2 linked regions of the Cricetulus griseus genome follow. The protein of the gene in region 2 binds, or shares a complex with, the protein of the main gene of each other region. Links are inferred from orthologs where the notes say so. Each region holds a gene or a part of one and is shown on either strand. Other genes may lie near its edges. The genes, in order: Sf1 and Prpf40a.

Region 1 (8,414 bases), on a different chromosome or scaffold from region 2:
TCCCAACCTGTCCTCAGGGTTAGGGGGGATGCCCAGGTCTCCTGTGCGCAGTTTACGAGTCAGGTCTTCTATCTGTAGTTGCACTGGAAGAAACCAGGTTAGGAAAGAAAAAAAAGGATGGAAAAAAGACAATGTTACCAAAAAACATCTCAAATCTCAATAACAAGCATGAAGAACTCGGAGACTTTGAAAGGGATGACTGATCAGTGACACACTGAGGCAAAAACCCCCAACCACCTAGCAGCAGGAGTCCATTTACATCTACAGTTAATTTTCACTTCAAAATGGTTATCACTTAAGGAAGCAAACAGTTTGTTGGAAGAGGGGTTAGCAGTTAAGACTGTTCACTACAGCTTACAATTGCAATTATCAGGAGGTAAATATTCACCTCTTCCCTTCCCCACCAACACTTGCTTACAACTGGCACCCTGAACCAACACCATTTAAGTTATCATCAGTACCTGGTTCCCACCAAACTCAGGGCAAGACTTGAGTTTCTATTTCTTCAATAAATATTAAACACAGCCCAAAACTACTCAATATGGGACAACAAAAAAATAGCATTTGAACAAAGACCATTTTCATTAAGACCAGGTTTGAAACTCTCTTTAAGCAAGCATTTAATAACCAATTCAACATTTTACAAATTCATACGTATACTTTCTGTATAAGCAGACTTGTACTGAGTCCCCCAATACCTGCAGTTTTTACTTAAAATACTGAACAAACCACATACCTTTCTTTATAAACCAGTAGGCCTAAGTAAGTTTCTGTAAGTCTTTGTTTTATCTTTGCTTTTTTGTTTTGAGACAGGGTTTCTCTGTGTAGCCCTGGCTGTCCTGGAACTTGCTCTGTAGATCAAGCTGGCCCTTCAACTTAAGAGATTCACTTGCCTCAGCCTCCAGAGCACTGGGATTAAAGGTGTGTGCCACAACTGCCAGGTTTGTTTTTGGTTTTGAGACAGGGTCTCAAAAACAGCCCTAGCTGTCTTGTAACTCCCTATGTAGACCAAGCTGGCCTAGAACTCAAAGATCACCTGTCCCTGCCTCCCCAGTGATTAGGTAAAAGGCATGTGCTACTACTACACCTGGCTTAGTTTACTTTCAGACCAGCTACTGATGTAGGGAGGTGTGTAAAAGATGGAAAATGAGGGTCAAAGAGAATGCATGTGGCATTGAAATGACATAAGATGAGGATTTCACTAAAAGCTTCTAGTAACTCATGGGAAATGTAACACAGCGGGATAACAGAGTGGATTCTTCAATATGTTGTGTTTGTAACTACCTAGCCTATCTTTTTTTTTTTTGGTTTTTTGAGACAGGGTTTCTCTGTGTAGCTTTGGAGCTATCCTGGCACTGGCTCTGGAGACTAGGCTGGCCTCGAACTCACAGAGATCCTCCTGCCTCTCCTCCCCAGTGCTGGGATTAAAGGCGTGCGCTATGCCTGGCTAAAAGATCATGGCCCTATCCTGTATCTTTATCATACCCCAGGTTTCTGAGCAGGTAGGAAGGGCACAGCTTACTTATAATTAGGATTAATGCATACCTAACTACAGATAATTGTTCTTAAGACAGAGTTTCTCTTTGCAGCCCTGTCCTTCCTGTAACTCTCTGGCCTCAAAAGATGCACCGGCATCCCAAGTGCAGGGACTAAAGGCGTGGGCCACCAACGCCCAGCTTCAGTTTACTTTTACTCAGTGTTTTCAGCATGGGGATGTTGTATAGCCCTGTGAGACATACTTTAAAATTAGAATTATCAGCTGGGCAGTGGTGACGCACGCTTTTAGTCCCAGCACCCAGGAGGCAGAAGCAGGAGGATCTGTGAGTTCAAGACCAGCCTGGTCTATAAGAGCTAATTCCAGGACAGCCTCCAAAACCACAAAGAAACCCTGTCTCTGAAGGAAAAAAAAAAAGAAAAAAGAAAAGAAAGTAAACTGAATAGCGAGAGGATCCTGAGGACATCTGGACAAGTGTACGCCATGGGACACAGCTGCCCTCCAAACTCCTTTACTCCAAACAAGTTCTAGCTTTACAGTAAGACATTAAGCTCAAGAACTTCAGACAAAAGAAACTACAATAGGATCTAACTTGAATACCCAGAACGAAATAAACCAGAAAAGGCTATTATCTCCCATGAAGCAAAGAACTTATACTAGCCTCTAACTCTGAGTCTACCTACTTTGATGAAAGATGTAAATTAAATAGTCTTTAAGGGCTTAGTGCATTAACTGGGCCTCCAGAGGAAAAGAGAGTTGTAAAGTATTAAGTGTTTCTCAGATTCTACGTTCTTGGGCTGTGATACCATTAGGGGCATTTTATAAGGTTGGAAGGTCCAACACTGGTCTAATGACACCTAAGAGTTGGATAAGAGTAAACAGCAACAGTGAGAAAAAGTAGTATTAGTAGTACTGTGACAAGAAGACAATTCCAACGCCTTAAAATTCTCAGCAATCTAAAAACCAGGAAATGAAGACCCTCCAGATTTAGACCACATTGGCCCTGAAGCTATGTTTGTGAAGGTCACAGCTTCATGGACCCACTAGGTTTCTGCCCAAAGAGGATGTTTATTTGGTTAGTTGAAAATGTTTATCAAGTGTACTTTTTAAGACAGCTGGACAGACATATATAATTTGTATGAATGACCTTGGTTTCTAAGTAATTTTGAGGTTTAATTTCAATTCAACTTAAATTTTTAAAATCCTGCCACCACCTCATTTCAAATCAAACAATAAACCCTTCCCAGTAGAGTTTTTTCGTGGTTTTACAAGAGCCTTCATTATTTATTTATTTATTTATTTATTTATTTTTGAGACAGGGTTTCTCTGTAGTTTTGGAGCCTGTCCTGGAACTTGCTCAGTAGATCAGGCTGGCCTTGAACTCACAGAGACCCTCCTGTCTCTGCCTGCTGAGTGCTGGGCTTAAAGGCGTGTACCACCAACGGGCTAAGAGCTTTTATTTTTAAGACAGCTCTCTAAAGACCAAACAAGATGCTGAAGGGAAGGATTAAATTCAACAAAACAGTAAAAATGGGTGAGCTGTAAATACTTTCAGAGCCACTTTTTGTTTGAACTGTTTTGTAACCTATAAAAAAAAGCAAAACCACATTTTAGGGAAAGGGAACCATGACATTATGATGAAAGGCCATGTTACAAAAAAGGCACCTGGTTTACAAATACCTGCAGTGTTCTCCACTGGGGCCTGTCCAGAGAGGCAGATAAGCATGCACCTCATCAATGAGCAAGAGCAGCTGAGAAGTGGGCTGCTTAGTAAGGCCTATGTGCTGCTGAGAGCAGGCCCAAACAAGTTACAAATCCAGGACTGGCCATGCAAATCACAGTTTACACCAAAGCTATAAAAAGCACACCTGATCACACCTTGTCCCAAAACTAAAACCTCAGACTTTCAATAGATTTGTCCTCAGAATAAGCAGTCACAATTTGAAGATGCACCTGGATGCAGAACGTGTATTTACCTATATAAGCTCTTTCTTGTTCCCGAGTCAGTCCAGGGGGGATAACCGTGGGCATGCCTGGAATCACTGTCTTTTGTTCCATTGTGTCTTGGTTCCACCGGCTCCTCTTCCTCTTCTTACTTGGGAAGTCTAAAGACAGACAGAGCCCATCAGGAGGAAACACGAACCATGAGAGTGACTACCAACAGGCAGTTCATGACAATTAAGACTAAAACAGAAATCCACCTAAAATTTAAAAAGAAAGGAGCTTCAGAGGTCAGAGAGGAATACAAGCAGACATAAAGGTATCTGGTCCTGTCAGAGAAGTTAATGAACACTTCACATTTATATTCTTTTTTCCTGGGAAAACTTGCTAGAGAATGTAAATACAAGGAACAAATTTTCTCTTGTGGTGCTGGGAACACCCAGGTCGTGCAAATGCTAGGCAAAGGCTCTACACTACTGAAGCACACCTATTCTGTCTGTCTCCCTGTCTCTGCTGGGATTAAAGGTATGAGCCACTGCACCCTTGCTTCCAATTCTTAATAGTTCTAAGGAGATGTACATCAATTCTGGAAGCTCTAAACGGCAGTAAAGTTGGACAATCAGATCTACAAAGCAGCAGATTAGCTCCAAAGGAAAACAACACCCAAAGCTCTTCCTACATATCACTAAGTGAAACGTCCCATCCTTCAGTAAGACCATGCTCACACGGCAAGACCAGCATTCAGTTTTTCTGACCAGTGGACACCTGTCATCAGAACTCTGATGTATCCAATTCTTCCCTACATTTACCACACAAGGTTTTCTACTTCTCAGGATTACAGGCCAGGGGAAAAGTCTTTTAAATCAGCACGGGGAAAGATGGTCACTCAAAACCTTCTAGAAAACAAAAAGAGATAAACAGCCTTAAAAAGAAAAATCGAACCCAAGCATCACCACAAGTCTTCCAAACTGGCCTTATTGCAAAAAAAAAGAGACACTCTTGACACGGGACTGGTCTCCCTTTCAGGTTCCTAAAACCGTAAGGGGGACCCCTCACACCACATCGTTACGTGGACTTTCTTACACTCTCCTGTATACACCAGCTCAAGGGGCAACAGGTGGCCTCTTCAAGCCCTCAGAATTGCGCCACAAAGCCTGAACGCCTCATTGCGTCTGCGCAATGGACGCTTCCTCCCGCCCGTCTTCCTCTCAGAGGGCGCATGCGCACTCGGAGCTTCCCAAACCAGGCCGCGCGTACCCTGGGGCGCGTCCGCCCGGGCCTCCCGTGCACGCGCTCGCGCTCGCGTCCTTGCCGCGTGAAACCTCGGTCGCGTGCCCCTCCGCCGGCCGGCCGGCCGCTCCGGTCCGGTCCGCGCGGCGCTCCTCGCGCTCTATCGGCCCGACTCACCGCCACCACCGCCGCCGCCGCCGCCGCCGGACGGGCCCGGCTGCTGGTCCTGGCACGGAGGCGACCCTCGCTGGAAGAGCGGCGGCGCGGGGGCGGCCGCAGTGGAGGGTTCCAGGCCGGGGGCGGCGGCGACGCCACCAAGAAGGCCGCCGTCAGGGCCCCCAGCGATCCCACCGGTGGCAGCGGCCCAGGCGCCAGCGGGCCCGGCTCGAAGCCGCCTTTGGGCCCAGAAAGCGGGGGGAAGGCCTGAAAGGCCCAGCTTACCCAGCGGCGTGGCGTTCGCTCCGGTCGCCATGGCGCCCCAGGGGACCGGCACCAGCGGTTCCTCGTCCTCGGCGGCGGCTTCTCCTTCGCGAACCTTCCGGGGGGGGAGGGGACCCGACTACGCTGCCGAGGAGCGCGGGGAGCCAGTCCTCTCACGCGGCGGGCGGCGGCGGCGCCAGACGCACAAAGAGGGAGGAGAGAGGATGCCGCGGGGGCGGTCTGAGGGCGGCGGGACCGGGGCCTGGATTGGGCCGGCCCAAGGTGAGGTCGGAGGCAGCGGCCTCCGATTGGTGGAGCGCTAGTCCTTTTCGATACGTGTCGGGATTGGCCGAACCGTTAGGCCAGGCGACGAAATGGCGGCGGGGCCGGGTGAGCTGGGAGGTGTCGCAGCGCGCACCTCATTTGTTACTGCGCGGACTGAGCGCCCAGGCCGGAGGGGCGGAGATTAAGGTGGGGCAAAGTCTATGACGTAGAGCGAACGGCTAGCTCATTGGCTGGAGTTGATGGAGTCCCGCTCCTCGGCGTCGTAATGCCTCGGGATTGGCTGAAACGACTCCGCTCCCCGGGGACGAGTTGCTCGGGAATCGAGAAAGCCCGGAGGAGAAGCCCGAAGGAAGATCGGGGGAGGCGGGGAGCAGGAGGTACGCATGCGTGGTGAGGCCCGGCGGCCTCTGTCCCTCCACCAGCGGGGCGGGAGCGGAAGCTGTAAGTGACGTTAGTCATTGTGCCTGAGGTAACCAGGAACCGCCGCGGGCAATGGGCGGGCTCGAGTGAATGAACCGGATACGTCGGCGACGCAGGTAGAGAACTTCCTGTTTTCTTTAGAAAAATAAAGTTACGGAATAGGGTAGTTTTTTGTTTGTGGCTTAATTTTTGGTTTGGGTCCTTTTGTTATTTTTGTTTGTTTTGTTTTTCGAGACGTTTCTCTGCGTAGCCTTGGCTGTCCTGCCTCTGCCACCGCGAGTGCCGGGCGTTGGTGGTGCACGCCTTTTATCCCAGCACTCTGTTGACAGAGGCAGGCGGATCTCTAAGAAATTAATACCTAAAGTGATAGAACAAACCATATAACCTCAGATGAAAGACAAGGTGGCCACCTGAGTATTTGAGAGGTTGAGACAGGAGAGCTGCCATGATTTGGGGCCTATCCTGGGATAGAGTATATCTGTGCCAAAAAAAAAAAAAAAAAAAAACAGGCTTAGTGCCATATGCCTGCAATCTTAGCTCTTGCAAAGAAAAATCAGGAGCTCACAGTCATTCTTAGAAACAATTCAAAAGTTTTTTCCATCGTAATCAGTGTGTTGGGAATTTGACTAAGTTACCTTAAAAGTATATGACCATGGAAATGCCTTCTCATAAAGTAAACATAAGAGCAATGAAACAACTTTTTTGCAGGAAAACCCAGTAACACAACAGAATATAATTGGGAATAGGATAATCACAAAGCTGATTACTTCAACCCAGTAGAGAGAAAGATGTTTAATAAATGATGTAGAAGGGCTGGAGAGATGGCTCAGCAGTTAAGAACACTGGCTGCTCTTCCAAAGAACTGGGTTCAATTCCCAGCACCCACATGACAGTTCACAACCACCTGTAACTTCAGCCCCAGGGGATCCAAAGCCCTCTTCTGGCCCCACAGGGACTGCATGCATGTGGTACACAGACTTACATGCAGACAAAATACCCATGTACATTAGACAAAATTTTAAAAATGATGTAGAAAAAATCTGAAAACACGTAGACAATTTAGAAGATGTGGGGTAATCTAGGAATCTAGACAAGAAACTCAAGACAAGAAACTCAAGACAAGAAACTCAAGTATGCTGTGTGGTACAAGTCAACAGGTCGTGGCAGATTAGGGAGGAAATTGCCATGCAACAGAGAAGGAGCAAATGTCTGGCCTGAGAATACACATCAGTGGTAGAGCTTTTGCATATCACATGCAACTTCCTTGATTCTACCTCTAGAACTGCAAAAATAGAAGAAAAACCAAATGTCTGTAATACCCACAGAAGCCTTCAAGACTAAGTAGAGGAATGGCTAGAGAGATGGCTCAGTAAAGAACGCTGGCTACTCTTCTAGAGGACCTGATATCCACATATCAACTAACAAACATGTCTCTCCTGTTCAAGGGATCGAGACTCCCTCTTCTGAACACCTCAGGCACTGCTTGCTCACAGGTGGTGCACAAACATAACATGCAGGCAAAACACCCATACACATCAAAAATTTTAAAAACTAAAACTGGGCCAGGCATTGGTGGCACACGCCTTTAATCCCAGCACTCAGAAGGCAGTGACAGGTGGATCACTGTGAGTTCGAGGCCAGCCTGGTCTCCAGAGCAAGTGCCAGGATAGGCTCCAAAGCTACATAGAGAAACCCTGTCTCGAAAAACCAAAAATAAATAAAACTAAATACAGGGACTAAGGCTGTACTTTAGTAGTAGAATGCTGGCCTAATATGGCCAAAGACCTGGGTTTGAGTCCCACATACTGGAAATAATTATTATGGAGCCAGCCATGGCAAGCTGTAATAGTTTGAATAGGAATGTCCCACCCCCGTTTTTCTCTCTGTCTCTCTCTGCCTTGTACTTGGCTAATACAGTGTAAGTTTTCAGCTACTACTACAGCACCATGCCTGCTGCCATGGTCCCTGTCATGATGGTCAGAGACTTAACCTCTGAACTGGAAGCCCCCAATAATTCTTCCTTCTATAACATGCCTTAGTCATGGTGTCTCTTCGTAGCAATAGAAAAGTAAGTGGTGGTGGAGGCTTACCATGGCAACCCTTGGAGCCCTGATCATGGCCCTGGGAGTGGCAAGGAGCATGGGGGCCATGGCCTGTAGCCTGCACACCACCATGGCTTCCTGCCCATCAAGGGGCAGTGCTGCACACCAGACCCACTGTGCTGTGGGAAGAGTGTGGTGCTCTAGAGAATGTGAAGGCTGCTAGTGAACTCTCCTCTCAGAAGAGGTAAGTGAAATCCATAAAGTAGGTGCAGAAAACCTGGGGCTCGCCAACAAATCCACAAAGGTAGCTGGCCCATCAAGATGACACTGATTGACCCTTCAGAGCTGGATGAACTAATGTGTGAAGAAGTATATGAGAAATACATGAAATGTGTTTAAGAATGAACATGACACCCACACCCCCACACATAACAGAGTGAGAAGTAACCTGCTCCAGCATGCTTGTCTTAAAAGCATTAGTGGAGGATAGAAGACTTGAAATACCTTTTTTTTTTGAAACAGGGTTTCACTGTGTTATGTAGCCCTGGATGTCCTGGACTCAAGGTGTGCGCCTACAAACA
Region 2 (7,854 bases):
CTTACGTCTTCCCAGACAGCATCCAGTTCTATTGGAGGAGCAGCTTGTTTCAACATACTCTTAAATGCAGACTCTTTTCTTTTCATTTTCCGAGCTTCCTCCTTTTCTCTTTCACGTTCCCGAGCTTCTGCCTTTTCTAGTAACTAACAAAAATATCATATGTAATAAGTTATGATAGTATAAACCCTGTTTCAAATAATTTATTGTTCTCAAATATAGTAGTGCATCATTTATAAATGTTTTAATTTGACCTAAAACAATAAAAGGTACAGTGAATCATCCGCATACACTTTACATAAGTTCTATTCATAGTACTTTATTCCACTCACCTACAACTGTAAGTAATTGTTAGATGAATAATAGGCTAGTTATCAGTAATAATCAAACTTACACTATTGAAAGCCAACTTGATATTTCCAGCATCCAAAGTAGTTGATCTTTTTGTTGAACTGATTATTGCCACAAAGTCTTCAAAGGTAGTATTTACTTCAACTACAAATCCTTTATCCTAAAAACCAGAAATTTTGTTATAAGTAACACATAACTCTAAGGAATAGATTGATGTTTTCAAATAGGAAAGAACATATGTCTTATTTACCTTCAGAATGTCTTTTATTATCTTCTTTTCATCATGATAACGTGCTTTAAGATCTTCAACATAAAACTTGAAAAGATCAAGTGCAGTTGATCCTAATGAAAAAACTAAAGAAGTCAAAAAGCTAGCTCTAACCAAGAGCTGCAATTACTTTTTGTTTGTAAAACAAACATAAAATAAAGCACACACCTCCCCTCCCACCCACCACCTACCACCCACCAATCCATTCCAACTACCATCTTAGGTTTGGAAAGAAAAGAATCTCACCCGGCTGACCAAGCATATTAGTGAACCTAATATCAGAACTAATAGTTGGATACAGTTCCATCCAAGAGGACATAGAATGCAGTTGTCCATGCTCATGCAATTCATCTAAAAATATCTGTAAGAAAGGAAACAAATATATTTGAAAACTCATTAGAATGATAACATAGAAATCCATATAAAGAACTGTTAGCAATATCAAAAGTTTTTCTCACAGTGTTATCCAGTATGTTTAGGTACAAAGAATATTTGCTATTTGATGGGAATAAAAATGTTTTTAGACCACAATTAATTATAAACAAAACATCAAAAGAAAGGCATCTTTTTTTTTTTTTGAGACAGGGTTTCTGTGGCTTTGGAGGCTGTCCTGGAACTAGCTCTTGTAGACCAGGTTGGTCTCTAACTCACAGAGACCCACCTTCCTCTGCCTCCCAAGTGCTGGGATTAAAGGCGTGTGCCACCATCGCCCAGCTGAAAGGGATCTTTAAACACTACAGTACCCTTCTAGCCTTCAGTTGCCTGTCCCTTAAGATAGAACACTATTTCCAGTTAAAAAAACAAAAAGTACATAAAATATTGTATATATATATATGTAGCTATATATACTAAATGACTGGAATTATCTATTCTCAAATGATGTGGCTAAAGAATAAATGTGTTTGTGCTGTAAAATATAGCTTTTGTTTTTAAATAGAATTAGATATTTCAAATTTGATTAATTAAAAACAAAAAAAATGTGGCAACTAAAGAAATGGCTTTGTGGTTAGAGGCAGTTGTAACACATGCAGAGGCCCAGGTTCTGTTCCTAACACCCATATGGTGACTCAAAATCACCGCTAACTCCAGTTCCAGGGGATCTAGACATCAGGCAAGCAGATGCTGCACACACACATGCAGGAAATACACTCATACATATAAAATAAATCTAAAATAGCCATAAAGAATAAATTACTTTTCTCAAAGTATTTAAACTCCCACATAGGTGCTTAATTATGTTACACACCTAAACTGTACTACAGCATGTTCTTTGAGAACCATATATCAACTCCTAAAAAGTATATCCTATATCTTGTTTCCACTCAGTCCTCATGCTATTTTTGTAAGCTAAACCCTTATGCTCAAGTTAAATAATGTTTGTTGCAGCCTGCTATAGTCCCTTGCCTCAAATATCTAAGAACAAAATTGAAAATATAGAAATTAAGAAGTTCAATATATATGGTCCAAAACAAAGCCTATGTAGTGAACTGGAAACAAGCATCTCAAAACTGTTTTGATACTTGTTGACGTTCAATGACTATGTTACTGAACTACACTAGAAAAAGCATTTTTCTATTACCTGAAAAGATTCCCTATTTTTACGCTGCCGCCTCCTCTCTCTCAACAAAGTCTTCTGTTTTTCTTCTTCCTCTTCCTTTTCTAAAGCCCGGATGTGTTCCTCAAAGCATATTAATGCATCTTCTTTATCCATGTCTGAAGTATTTTTCAGATTAAAAAAATTGAAATATTAACAAAGAAAGCAGTTTAATTAAAGTCTTTACAAACTTCAAATTCAGTGTTTAAAAGTGTTTGTATTTGAATTTAAACATGATCTTGTAATGACACAAGTTTTGAAAGACTTCAAATCCTAGAGAATAAAGGCAAGAGCACATGCACATGACAAAATTAACGGGCTAACAGAGCAATGTTATGCTTAATTCCAAACAGATTATTTTATTGATAAAAAATTTTATTAGTTCTGTGAGTTTTGTGTGCATTTTGCTCATATTCACCACTGACTTCTTCACAGATATACACACCACTTAGCCAGCTAACTTTGTCATCCCTACCTCCCTAAACTTATTTTAAATCCACCAAGAAGAATTTGTTGGATATACGATCTTACTCTTGAGAGTAGTTGATATATCAGGAGCTATGATTGAGAAAACTGTCTCCTTTCCAGCAGCCATCAGTTGCTAAAGCTCTACAGCTAAGAGTAAGATTTTGTGGTCAACTCCATCTCCATGCTGGGATTGGATACCAGTGAGCTATAAATAGTTGATTTATTACATATTTCAAGAATTTTCTGTTAAATGTTAACTGAGATCTCTAGAAAAGTATTTTTCTAAATCAAAATTCAATTAGAAACAACCCATTTGAAAATAAAGTATTTTTTCAGAAATAGTAATCATTTTGTAAAATTTGAGCTAGCAACTGCATAAAATAGCAATTCCTCGAATTTCATACAGAAAGTAAAGAATAACTCAAGGGGTACTACTTATCATTTTTCTTATGTAGTGATTGTTCTTACTCTGTAACTCTTCATCCTCTGCAAATGTTGGATTATCCATCAGATATTGTTGGGCTTCAGACCAAGTAGTAGAGTATGTAACATTAGCCATATTGTCAAGTATGTTTTTTAAGGCTTCCCAGTTTCTCTTTCGTAACTGCTTAGCTTGTTCCTACAACAAACATTTGAATAATGCTTTTAATATTCAAACAAGATATCTAAATTATAATTACTTAAGATTCCTTTATATTCTGATAAATGTCCAAATGTTATTATATACCAAGACCCTTCATTTTGTTACTGTTTTCCAAACCTTCAGTTTTTCATCTCTCTTTGAATTCAAAATCCAAAAAAATTATATTGTTTTGTATCCTCATTTCATAAACCTATGCCTTACCAGTATTCATTACAGATATAACTAATAATGAGGGCTACTGTGTACAGTCAGTATATAAACACAAAGGCATTCCCTGATATTCAAATTTTTAGTAATATTTTCAATACTAGATGCAAAACAATTTACTGACAAACAGGAGAAAAAATGAGTTACTCATTATATCTTTTAACACAGCTTCCAATGAACAGATATGATATATACACACTAACGGAGTTAAGCAAAGAAACTGACATTATAATTTTTACTCATTTATAATAAAGAAAATCTTATTCAGAATGTTGAAATAACAACAATTTAAAAAGTACCTTTTCTTTTTTTGAGAGGAAGAACAAAACATCTTCATAGATTTCAAGACGATCACGCTCTGATATAGCATTCCAAACCTCCATCTCCCCAAACATCTGTTCGGCTTTTCTAGTGATTATGAAATCAAGGGTTACTTGATTAATGCATCAGTACAATTTTAGACTTTTTTTTTTAAAGGCACTCAATTAACACACTCTCCATTTCAAGTTTACAAATGCATTAACTCGGAAAACTTTTATGAAAATCAATAAAATATTAACAGAAGAGCAAAGTCTCTATTTTCTCTTAGGACAATTCACATTAGGTAATGCTTTGCAATGTAAATAGCCCCTTTCCCCCAAGTCACCTTCTGCAGACTATAAAACAGTAACAGTTAATGTATTATGTCTATTCCCTAACACCTCAAGTGAGCCTATAAGTTACTGATTTTTTTGGCTATCTTATAAAACTGCCACATGCTCATTTACCCAGCTGTTTCATGACCATCCATTTTGGATGAGTTAGCAAGAAGTACGACACAAACAACAGGGGGAACATTGCCTCCATCATTAAAAATCTTACTTGTATCTGGTTGTGGAAGTCATTTTCTCATGATTTTCAAGAAAACGCTGAAAGGATTCCTTAGCTTCCTTGTATTTTGATCTTGCTTCTTCTTTTTCCTCTTTCTCGGTCTGGACTTTATAGGCATTAAAGGCCTGCTTTTTCTCACTCAGCTTTGCTAAAGCACTAAATAACAGAAAATATCAGACAAGAATAAATATAAAGGCTGGAGAATAAAATGTTACTGCTTTAGAAAAATGTTTGACGCATACATTAAGAAAATATCTAATTTACTGAAGATATACAATTATTTTAAACAGCAAATTCTAGTGTTCAGTGATTATAATTTCATTTGGAGCAAGGTGCTCAAATTGTAGGACAACCCTTTTGGATTTCTGGCTATAGAACACATAAAATACCTCTATTTAAAATAATTATATACCTATGAACAGCTGTGTATTATAAAGTTAAACTGTTGAACATAACTTTAAATGCCCTAAGATTAATGTAAAGTTAATTCTAAAGTCATTGTATTACCTGTACCGAGGATCATTAATGATCATTTTCATAGCTTGTTCCCATGAAGCATTGGAAGGTACCCGCTGAAAATTATTTAAAGGGAAAATTAAAATTTTATACAACAGAGACAATGGTTATCATAGGAAAGCAAGTTTAACACTCATTGCAAATATCAAGCACCTCCCCCTTTGCAGATTTTTTTTTACAATCTAAAACCATTTTCAATGAAGCAAATTTATGATACACACTTATTGACTAAAAAGAAAATTCACACTGAAATTGAAACAGTATTTTTTCCGCATTAGATCACCAACTAAAAGACAAGCAATAATTTAAATAAAAAATCTTATACATCAAGGCAAAAATATGATTGTGAAATAATACCTTGTTGAGTTTCCAAAAGCATTCTTCAATAAAAACACAACAAATTTACTTTGTTTTCAGTTAAAACAGTTCAAGTAATTAGTATTTTAAATAAAGGCACCAAAGCGAACATTTATTAGGAAATTATTATGTGTTACTTAAAAAGATTATAATACCTTTTCTTTCAATAATTCTTTAAATGCTTGCTTTGCCTCCTCCTTTGTATTCCAAGTATATGTTTTTTTTGCTGGTTGGCTCTCTTCCTCTTCTTTTTTAGGAGTAAAACTAGAGAGAGAGAAATTTAAACATGCTATTCATAATTTCAGGAACTAATTTCTGCTTAGGAAATCATTTAACTGATGCTGACCTAAAACTTGACAATTTTGAGAGAAATTTTCTTATATGAACCCTGAAAATAAAACTATCTGAAGACAGGAAATAAATTTACAGATATAAGGCCCTGTAAAAAGGCCAAATATAAGGGGGAAATCACACTAAGTTGATCTATAGTATCAGACTAGTCTAGAGGCTAATAAATAGCTTATTATATTTATCCAGCTGTTTCATATTAGTGATCTAATGTGTATACCTTAGTGTATACAAAAAGCTAAAAAAGATGTATAGAACAATCAAATGATTGATTAGCAAAATCCAGTTTAGTTAATTTTATAAACATTAATAGCAATCAGCTAATTCCATATATTCTTTTTGGATGATTTTATACTATGGCACGGACACCAAGTCACTGTTTAACCTCAAATAAATATTATTTGACAAGTTGTAGAACAGACTTGATAAATTCTGATTTCAAAAAGAATATAATATAGAAACAACTACTTGTTTGAGGTCCACTGAATTGAAAAAAATTTAGTTCAATGGATGGAAATGGAACAGCAATAGATACTGACATAAGAATGTAATATGTAGTAACATATATTGTTCTTATAAGTGCCTTTACATAAAACTTAATTGAAATTATTAAAAATTATAACTCATGAGTTATACTGGGACTCTTTAGGAAAAAAATCTTTCTAAAACTATGAAAAAAAAATTGGCCCTCCACATTCATACAAAAGAATTAAAATAATCATAAAACATATCTGTAACAAACAAAAACCTCTCATCACAATTTGTGAATTTGATTCTGTAACAAATTATATTGGATTAAACATTAAAAGTAATAGTAATATATACGAGGCTTGGCACAAATTACATGTAACTATCATACCAAGTTACAGAAGTTATTTTGAGCATCTCAGTATTTTGGTGTTCAATGTTAAAGCATAAAATGTAGAATGACATTCCCAAAGCTTACATCATATGATATCATCATTTGACCTTTATGGATACAGAAAAATATATCTGATACATATATATGCATATGCACACATGTACACATACACTCAGAAAATGCCTTAATATATGCATAGCTAAGGTCAGAAGAGTAAAAGAAAATGTGACCTTAACTCTTAATTGCCTCCAAATGTACCATTTTGTTTCTTTTAAAATATCTCAACATGAACACATTATATAGCTATTTGTGAAATTAATATGAGACATAGAACACTGATGGTAAGGAGTAGAGACGGAGGCAGCAAGACTAAATATTAACTAGATAATAGTGTTTGGTCAGACTATTCATCCATTTGTGCCTTTTTTGTGTATCTTGGCTCATATGGTAGAAAAAGGAAGTCTTGCAACTGTCACTGAGCTTCTTTTTGTGACTCCTCTATAAAGTGCCTTCTCTTAACTGAAGCATATTTCAAAAAAAACTGTTCATATTTTTCAATTTATTTACAACAAGCTGAAAGCCAGATACCACCAATAACCAAAAAGGGATGAAATCAAGTTTAATTCTATCCCATTTGGCAGAGCTTGTCACCTTCCAAAACACATCTGTGTTCAACAGCAATCTACAGTACTTCTTGGAAGTTCTGACTGAGCACATAGAACAGAGAAGGAAAACAGACACACCCTTCCAAAGAGTAAACCAACCAGGGGTGACACCAAGCCTTTATTTAAAATACTGGAAGTTTGTAAACTGATTTTTTTTTTCCTTTTTGCCTTGATTTTGATTTCATTGACTAAATTAACAAGTTCTTATAGTTTAAGTCAGGCATTAACTTTCAGAAGTCTTGAATTACTAAACTTACTCAGTTACAGTTTCTTGTTTAGTTGGTTCCTCTCCAGTATTACTGGATATGTCACCACTTAGATCTTGAATAGCTGTGGTATTAGCAATCTGTGCTTGTTCTTCATTGGATATAGTTACTGTATTTTCACTATCTACAGCAGTAGCAACAATGGAAGTAACTTCAGGCTCAGGAGCAACTGGAACACTTCCCACAGTATTAGTAGGAGTGGTGGAAGTATTGGCGTTAGCAGCTGCTGCAGCAGCTGCAGCAGCTGCAACAACAGCAGCTGCTGCTTCTGCAGCAGCCATGGTGCTCATAGTGGTAGGAATTTCTGTTGCAGGAACTGGGGCTGTTGATGTTGTAGTACATTCTTCTTGCTTGCTATACAGTAAAAGAGAGAGACAGAGGGAAGAAGAGAAGGAATAAGAGGGATAGAAGTGGGGAGGGAGAAAGAAAGAACTGGTTATTT

Evidence for each region.
Region 1: the proteins of Prpf40a (region 2) and Sf1 are in contact, whole or in part, in an NMR structure (PDB 8PXX), measured with the Homo sapiens proteins. The link is inferred for Cricetulus griseus from reciprocal best matches to the Homo sapiens genes PRPF40A and SF1. Residues at the interface, in NP_001352526.1 of Homo sapiens: His164, Ser166, Tyr172, Tyr174, Ser181, Thr182, Trp183, Tyr213, Tyr215, Ser222, Arg223, Trp224; in NP_004621.2 of Homo sapiens: Pro575, Pro576, Leu577, Pro578, Pro579, Gly580, Ala581, Pro582, Pro586, Pro587, Pro588, Pro589, Pro590.

The regions. Positions count from the first base shown.
Region 1 is NC_048596.1:52,988,688-52,997,101, forward strand, and holds the start of Sf1 (splicing factor 1), read right to left. Parts: upstream 5,459-8,414; 5' UTR 5,139-5,458; coding exon 5,108-5,138; intron 3,606-5,107; exon of another isoform or gene 3,601-3,605; coding exon 3,472-3,600; intron 84-3,471; coding exon 8-83; intron 1-7. UniProt on the Homo sapiens protein: Necessary for the ATP-dependent first step of spliceosome assembly. Binds to the intron branch point sequence (BPS) 5'-UACUAAC-3' of the pre-mRNA. May act as transcription repressor.
Region 2 is NC_048599.1:121,219,514-121,227,367, reverse strand, and holds part of Prpf40a (pre-mRNA-processing factor 40 homolog A), read right to left. Parts: intron 7,767-7,854; coding exon 7,404-7,766; intron 5,536-7,403; coding exon 5,427-5,535; intron 4,971-5,426; coding exon 4,906-4,970; intron 4,555-4,905; coding exon 4,390-4,554; intron 3,937-4,389; coding exon 3,828-3,936; intron 3,298-3,827; coding exon 3,147-3,297; intron 2,330-3,146; coding exon 2,196-2,329; intron 978-2,195; coding exon 863-977; intron 703-862; coding exon 599-702; intron 509-598; coding exon 392-508; intron 144-391; coding exon 6-143; intron 1-5.